Oryzias latipes: one gene and its partner. The protein of the gene in region 2 interacts with the protein of the main gene of each other region in a pairwise test. Links are inferred from orthologs where the notes say so. Each region holds a gene or a part of one and is shown on either strand. Other genes may lie near its edges. The genes, in order: ppp2r5a and zinc finger protein Dzip1.

What was found.
Region 1: the proteins of zinc finger protein Dzip1 (region 2) and ppp2r5a interact in binary tests that used the Homo sapiens proteins (3 or more experiments, as listed by UniProt). The link is inferred for Oryzias latipes from reciprocal best matches to the Homo sapiens genes DZIP1 and PPP2R5A.

The regions. Positions count from the first base shown.
Region 1 is NC_019882.2:6,277,176-6,281,095, forward strand, and holds the start of ppp2r5a (serine/threonine-protein phosphatase 2A 56 kDa regulatory subunit alpha isoform), read right to left. Parts: upstream 2,161-3,920; 5' UTR 1,359-2,160; coding exon 1,211-1,358; intron 1-1,210. Other genes in the region: dtl (denticleless protein homolog), read right to left, coding at 3,773-3,838. UniProt on the Homo sapiens protein: The B regulatory subunit might modulate substrate selectivity and catalytic activity, and might also direct the localization of the catalytic enzyme to a particular subcellular compartment.
Region 2 is NC_019860.2:16,456,966-16,460,785, reverse strand, and holds part of zinc finger protein Dzip1, read right to left. Parts: intron 2,215-3,820; coding exon 2,069-2,214; intron 2,002-2,068; coding exon 1,803-2,001; intron 1,679-1,802; coding exon 1,540-1,678; intron 798-1,539; coding exon 472-797; intron 406-471; coding exon 287-405; intron 150-286; coding exon 11-149; intron 1-10. UniProt on the Homo sapiens protein: Molecular adapter that recruits protein complexes required for cilium assembly and function to the cilium basal body.

The DNA of each region.
Region 1 (3,920 bases), on a different chromosome or scaffold from region 2:
CTTTAAAAGTTCATAAAAGCTGTATTTTGTTAAAAATCAAATGAAATAAAAGTGCACATTCTAGATGTGAAAGTAAGGTGACTTCAGATTAGTTTTGACCTCAGGCTTCAGGAATCCAACTACTAGAATGCTCTTCAGGTGTGGGATTTGAACACATTCCCACGAGGTTGCGAAAGAGATAAAAACGGAAATATGGATTGGCTGACAAATGTATCCTGGCAGGTATGCATTTGAGCAACTTAGAATTTATCGTGTCAGTTAGAGAACATTTAGCTGAACACGATGTAAAAACCGTCACACCAACAAATCGCGTGTAGCTCTTAAAATTGTTAGTAAAACCTGTGAAATACCATCCAAGATGTCAATACTGTTTGCTGTGAGGGAGAGTGAATATCAAAAACTCCACACGCGCTGAAATAATAAAGAAAAGATGTGCCACATTTAATGAGCAAGGCCTCCACCCTGCATGTCTGTCCTTACCTACAACACACAACTGTGCATCAACTAAAAACAGACAGCAAAGTTTCATCCTGGCCACCCTTATTATCTCACACAGTGTCACATTTCATTTGACGAAGTCTCTGCTGCACAGGACCGAGTCTCTGCTGGCAGGCAGCCACTCACTTAAGGCCACACATGTCTCTTTAGGACAAATGAGGCGTAAAATGAACAGGTCAAAAACAAGCCAGCGTGCAGAGGGCGACTCCGTCTGATGCACTCTCGTCTATGAGTCACGTGAAAGTGTTGGCTTCTCTTGGATTTGGGTCGGGCAAACCGAATGGATGGGCCGTGGTATCTTAACGTGGATATCCATGGCAGAACACCTTTTGTTTAGCGAAAAAGCCAATCCAGAAATGGAGATTTGATTTATCAAAAGTCTAAAGCTACAACTTGTACTGACTTATGGTGAGTCTGGGATGAAAAAGAAAAAAAGTGACATCAACTCACAGTTAAAGTATTTTCAAGGTGCTTTCAAAAATGAGGGAGAATAATTACTAAACAGGTAAAATAAATAAATGAAAACACACAACAGACAGGTAACATTTTGCTACCCAACAATCCTGCTGCCCAACATCCAGCCAGTTATATGTGCTGGGTATTATCTGCCATTCTGACTATAGGTTGCATTCCAGATCTGAACATCCTGCCGTATGACAGTGGTCAGCACAGACTATTTAAAGCGGTAGGCCCCTTCATCCTCTTACCGTACCTTTGAGCTGCGGCAGCGGGGAAAGCTCCACTGGAGCGCTTTGAGTGCGGTACTGCGAGGAACCCTGGGATTTTCTCTGTCTCTGCGCCTTCCGCACGGACTTCCTCGTGAAGCCGTCCACTTTCTCGGATGCTGAGATGGTCGACATTGTAATGTTTAAAAAAAAAAAAATCTGATGGAGATTTCTGGCGAGCTATTTATCAGATGACACGAGCCCGTCGCTCTTTTCCTTCCCCGAGTCTTGTTGTTATTGTGTATGATCCATCATGCTCACTCGGCTTCGACGAACTGCATCTCATGCAAAACGAATATTTAACGCAAAATGATAAACAGAGACCCGCACTAGCCTCATAAATACAGCTAAATCCAAGTTCCTGAATACCCCGCCTTTCTTAAAGCTTAACAGCATGTGCACAAATGTCTATTTACTGTGAAAAGCAAGGATGACATAGTCTTAAAAAAGTTGCTCAAATGCGAACTTCGGCTGCAGCAAAACAGTTAAGAAGCTACACTGACAGCTAACGCACCTAGCTAACCTGCTAAATTTAGCCGACGTTATGTGCCGAATGAAAATCTCTAACGCTGTCGAGGAAATAAAGTTACAAATATACCCGATAAATGCGGATCTCACGGCGCGTCGTTAAAATACGAACTTCGCGAATTAAAATACTGTACAATTAACCCAACTTTGACTTCCGCTGAGCATATTTTCCAAACTCTCTTAGAGATCGATGAAGTTCAATTTCGCTCGACGCATTCATTCAGTCCTTGAAGGTTCGCCTCGTCTGCACGAGCATGGCTTTGCCGTCTTCGCTATTCAGAGCACGTCAAAATCCCCCTAGATGTGTCTAAAAATGACCAAGAAACAACTTCGTTACGGGGAAAGAAGGCAGCCATAAACACTCCCAGTCGTTCCGTCGCTGTCTGTCTGTGCGCTGGCCTGAGGGGCGATGACAGGTGTACGTCACTGTTTGACGTCTCAGGCAGCCAATGGGAAGAGGGGACTCATAAAGTGGAAACTTTTTTAGCCAATCAGAGCGCGAGAAAAACGGGACTTAGAAAATGCAACATGCAAAAACAACTGGATGACGTTGAATGAGGCCTGAAAGGCGGCTGTAATGTCAGACACATTTTTCTGTATATTATGAAAAATTTAAAGTTCTATTTAATTTTTGCTTGACTAAATGTTCCCTTAAGAAAAGTCAAAATAGAATATTGTTTGCCTTATTCCGTGTTATAGACTGAAATTAAGAAATGTTCAAACTGTATTTTAGTACTTTTTTTATTAGCCAGAAAATTTTTAGTTTACTCAAATAATTTTTTGTTTTCCGTATTAGACTTTAAATTAAAGCTACTCTTCTCTATTTGTTAAAGATAGGTGGGAAAAGCATTTCTTTGACAATGCAAGAACAGGCAGAAAAATGGAGTTTAATTCCATATTCTAGAACACGTGTTGTTAATATTTGCAGGTCTTATGTCTGTATGCAGACAAAATGTTGTCAACAAACCATCAGTTGGATGCAACGTTGTGTGCACCCTTTTTGTAATACATGCTCTGACTAGCTCGGTATTATGTTATTTTTCTTTATTCACTTGGACAGTTTGATCCTTTATTAATAGACTTATGTGGGTTCTAATAAGCGGACAAAATTTAAAAGGATTTATGCTAGAGTAACAAGCAAACATATGTTTTCTATGCAGCTGCAATTGTCACTTTAAAGGTTATAATAAATACATAATGAGCTATTTAACATTAAGGAGTAGTTACTTTTTTTTCATTGCATTTAGTTACATGTATAAGTTATATCTGGCCATTTGAGAACAGCCACTATGCTGATTTGGTTCGCGGTGAAAATGAGTTTGACACTCCTGTTCTAGCCAATTGCACTTTCATTTCAGGTTAAAAAAAAATCTAATCTTTGACATTAATTTTAGCCCACATGCTTTTTTTAAACTAATATAAAAATACCTGACATTATAAGTGGCATTATAAAGGTTGTGGCATTTTTGTAACCCATCTTTCACCCCCACTGATAACCAAATTACAACCAAATAACAAGCTAAAAGTATCAACACCCTTTAAAATTCAAGGCAATTTGACCAAAGCATTTAAATACAGATAAACCAAAGAAAACTTTTACAAATGAACGATATTACATTAAAAGAAAATGTTGAAACCATGCAGTTAAAAAAATACTGACATGAATGGTTTGCTTGAATCTGTTTAGCTAACATTTTGATAGAAAATAACATTTTTGCAGAATTTAGCACATAAATATACAAATCCTGCAGATGAGCCCATCAACTGTGTTCTCTTGGATTCAGTGCTGAAGCATCTCTTAAGGCGTTTGTTTAGAATAAAATGGCAGATATAGAAATGTTTTATATAGAAATTCTAGACAGCAACAGAGAATACAAAATGGCAAAATAAGACAAAAAAAACAAAACAAAACTGTTCTTTGGATCTTAGATCGTTTATGCACCCCATGTTAACGATTTACTTTCTGTCTAACCACATAAAAATACCTTGAAGCTAAAAAAACAAACAAACACTCAAACTGGTCAGTCCAGAGGGGCTTTAGCAAAATACATGGAGATTTTCTTCATGGTCTGTGGGGAGCGCATGGTCTGAAAAACAAAAAGGAACTTATCAGATAAACAGGCACCAAAAATGTATCTTAATGTTGGTACAAAACCAAAAGGTGCATTT
Region 2 (3,820 bases):
TTGTTCTCACCTGATTTGGGGCCCTTCCCGGTGGAGGTTCCCCATACGCTGGTGCTGGGGGAGTCCATGCTCCTCCTTGTGGGTCCAGAACCGTGAAGGGATGCTGGTTTGGAGATCACCCAGTCGCTGCCCCCTTCCAGGTCGGTGAGCTGCAGCCACAGATGTTTAACCGTCAGATTTCTGACTCTCTGCAGCAAAACCTTCTTACAAATGTTCGTTTGCTGAAACCAATCAGTGAGAAGTCCATTAAAAAAAAAAAAAAAAAAAAAAGAGAGAAAACACTCACTGAGATCTCCTCGACCTCGTCCTTTCTCGTAGGCAGGACGCTCACGCCCCCTGCTGGTTTCTTCACAACCCTCTCTGCAAACTTCTCGATCTTTCTGGCCATCTCATTGATCGACGTCTCTAAAACGTAGAATGACTTTCAGCCACGCGTCTCACCGAACCCACCCCCCCCTGTCTGATGCTCACCCTTCTGGTTTCTCTTGCTGCTCTGGTCCCTGTAGCCCTGCAGCGTTCCTAGTGTGATCTCCTGCACCTCGCTGACCTCCGTCAGATCCTCCTCCTCTTCCTCGCTCTCCGTGTCTTCGATGTCGGCCCTGGTGACGGCGTCGGCGGCTGGCCGGGCCTGCCGAGGTCGGGGTTTGGAAAAAAGCCCCACCTCTTCCTGCCGGGTCAGGACCGGAGCAAATCTGCCCGCTCTGGTGGGCGGATGAGATCTGCTGGTCGGGGGTTTGGAAGCGTCCTCTTCCTCCATGTCTTCCTCCTCGGACTCATCCGAACTGAAGGGATGGCTCCTGAAAAAGAAGATGAGGAGAGAAATATGAAGAAGAAGAACTCACGTCCTGAAGCAACCATCATGAAGGTTTTGAAAGCTTAATGACGGTAATTTAGTAGTTTTATTAGAAACAAGTACTAAGACATCTGTCATGTGTTCAGTAAAACATCCAAAAATCGCTCTTTACAAATATAGTCAAGTAGAAATACATTTCAGGCAGTTAGGGCCAAATGAGTTTCTTTATAGTCTGATAATCTGTGATAAGTTCCAGAAGAATCTTAGTGGTGTTGCTGTTTTACAATCTTTATAATAATATAGAAAAGTGTTTTAAAAATAGATTTTGGGCAATTAGGGCGAATCTGTTCCAGAAAAAACGAACATGAACATGATCTTTATAATGCCAACGTCACGTTATTCAGCTGCCATGGCGCCGTGGGGTTGGTTTTTATTGCAGCAACATTAACTCAGTTTTTCTGTAAATCCATTGAAGGATTTAAAAAGCAGCTTTGTTTAGAATTTGAGTGTTCGGCATCTGGTAAAATAAAAATAAAAAATGTTTTTAATTTAAATAATTTCGCAGGAGGCCTGAATATTTAACAAACTATTGCTATTATTGATATATTTAGGATGAAATAACTGTCCTAATGGATGCGATAAAAAATAGTTTTTGCTTTCTTCCAAAAACATCTCTAAAGCTCCCATCGCTGCAGAAAGGAGCATTTTGGAGAAGAAAAGGATGTTCAGACGAAGCCAGAACGCACTTGATGACGCGTGGAGCCTTGGGGTTGGGTGTGGACGTCTTAGGCTGGGTGCTGGTTCTGGTTCTGGGTGCTGGTTGGGGAGTTCGGGGCTGTCTGGCTGTGGAGGGCAGGCTGCTGGATCTGGGCCGGATCTTCACCACTGGAAATGAGAGAAAAGCCTCAAAAATGAGAGGAAACGGCTCCGAAAGCGGAGGTGCTTGAGATGCTACAGAGACCTCAGATCACTGAAAGTAGTTCTCCGCTGGTCCTGAAGACTCTGGTACCTTGAACAGGCTGTTTGGATCTGGTCTTTGCGGTCAAATCTCTGCCTCCACTCCTAACGCCCAGCTTCTTCTCCACAATTCTGAGGATCTCCTCATGGTGGCGCCAATACTCAGGCATCTTCTTTGCAGTCATCTCCCGCTTCGCGCGCACTTTGGACATGACAGACGTGAGCTCCTTGCTCTTCAGGCTGCTCAGCTTCTGGAACACAGCGGGAATGAAAACGGGATTCTGCTGCCGAGCAGGTCTTTTTCTCTGTCAGACTTACAGCCTTCACCCCCAGGCTCTCCAGCTTCTTGGCCACGCTCCGCTCCAGCTCGAGGCGCGTGTCTCTCTTGACGCTGGCGCCCACTTTCAGCGCTGCTTTGGGTTTCCTCTCCGCTGCGGGTTCAGGCTCGGAGAGGCTGGAGTCCGCTGGAGACGGGTCAGACAAGGTCAATGAGCACGGACACAAACACGAGGGAGAAGAACGGCGAGCGTGCTCCCACAGACAAGCCACAACAAACAAACAACAGCCAGAGCTTTGTTCTTCTGTCACCAAAGAAAATAAATAAATGAAGGATGGAGCTTCATGAATCCAGATTCTCTTCAGGCCGTTTTTTTTTTCCCATCACTTTGGCTCATTTCTTGAAAAAAAAAAAAAAAAAAAGGTGTACAGATCAGGGGCGGCCGTGGTGCAGCTGTAGGGCGGTCAACCCATGATCGTACAATTGCAGGTTCGATTCCAGCCTTGCTTGCATGCCCATGAGTCAATGTGTCCTTGGGCAAGACACTGAACCCCACCTTGCCTCTGGTGGGAAGTTGGCGCCAGTGTTCGGCAGCGAAGCCGCCACCAGTGTGTGAATGTGTGTGTGACTGTAAAGCGCTTCGGGCCTTGTAGGTAGAAAAGCGCTATATAAATATACGCCATTCGCCATCACAGCATCCTTGTGGATTTTCCCCCTCGCCGCATCGCAAGGGATGTTATTCTGTGTGACGTCGGCGGGAAAAGACGCCCAGGGATACTTTCAATCTGTGCATTTATACAGTTCCTGTTCAGCTTATTTGACTGTATATCTTCTTGCTCTGAGACTTTTACTTTACAGTAAAAGACACAAATAAAAAAATCCGGCACAGCGGCGATTTCCTTGCCAGTGTGAGTTCATTACGTGTTTCCTTTTCAGCTTGATTCCCTTTTATATCCCGTCAGCCCGACATGAGGGGTCGGCGGTTTTACGGTGAAAAATGTCAAAACTTTGTGATCTGCGGGACCAACAGAACGCTAAAGGGACGGTACAAAACTTAGCTTCGGTGCACAGATGAACTGTTTTGGGAGAGATGTTTTGCTGAACCCTACAGACTGTTTTGGCAAAAGCACAGGAAGCTTTGAGGATGTCATTTCTGTGTGCAGAGATGAGACAAAGTAATGGAGAAAAACTGCAAGATTCAAACAGATCATTCAGAGGTTTAAGAGAACTGAAACCTTTCCTGTCTGAAGGACTCCGTTTCTGATCCGATGCGGTTCTTGTTGACCCTTTTGACACCGGAGCTTTAACTCTAGTATTTACGCTCTTTTGACTACCTTAACTCGTCAACCGCAATTCCAGCAAAGTAAGGAAAAGCAGTTTTGCGCTGATAAAAACTTTATGCTGGTAAAATGAAATCAGCGTAAATTATGAAGTCAATTAAAAAAAAAAAAAAAACTAAGAAAACTCTGCTGGCATTTTTATTCCTCATTCTTGGACATTTTTTATTGGGACCTCCAGTGGTTGTTTAGTGAACTGCACCTTACTTCCAATTATTTATTTACAGATGAGCTTCAATGGGGAAGTTGAGGGAACTTCTCGGATGTTTATAAAATCAGAACTAAAGTCATTAATCTGTCATTTAATGACTTTAGGATCTTGAATTTCGTATTTGGCAAAGGATTCTGTGTTTGTTCCACTTCTTTATATTTACATAAACATAAAACTTGAGTTTTTTCTTCAATTGTGTCTTTTTGTATGATTCATAGGAGCTCAAATAAGTGTCCCTTTTCTCC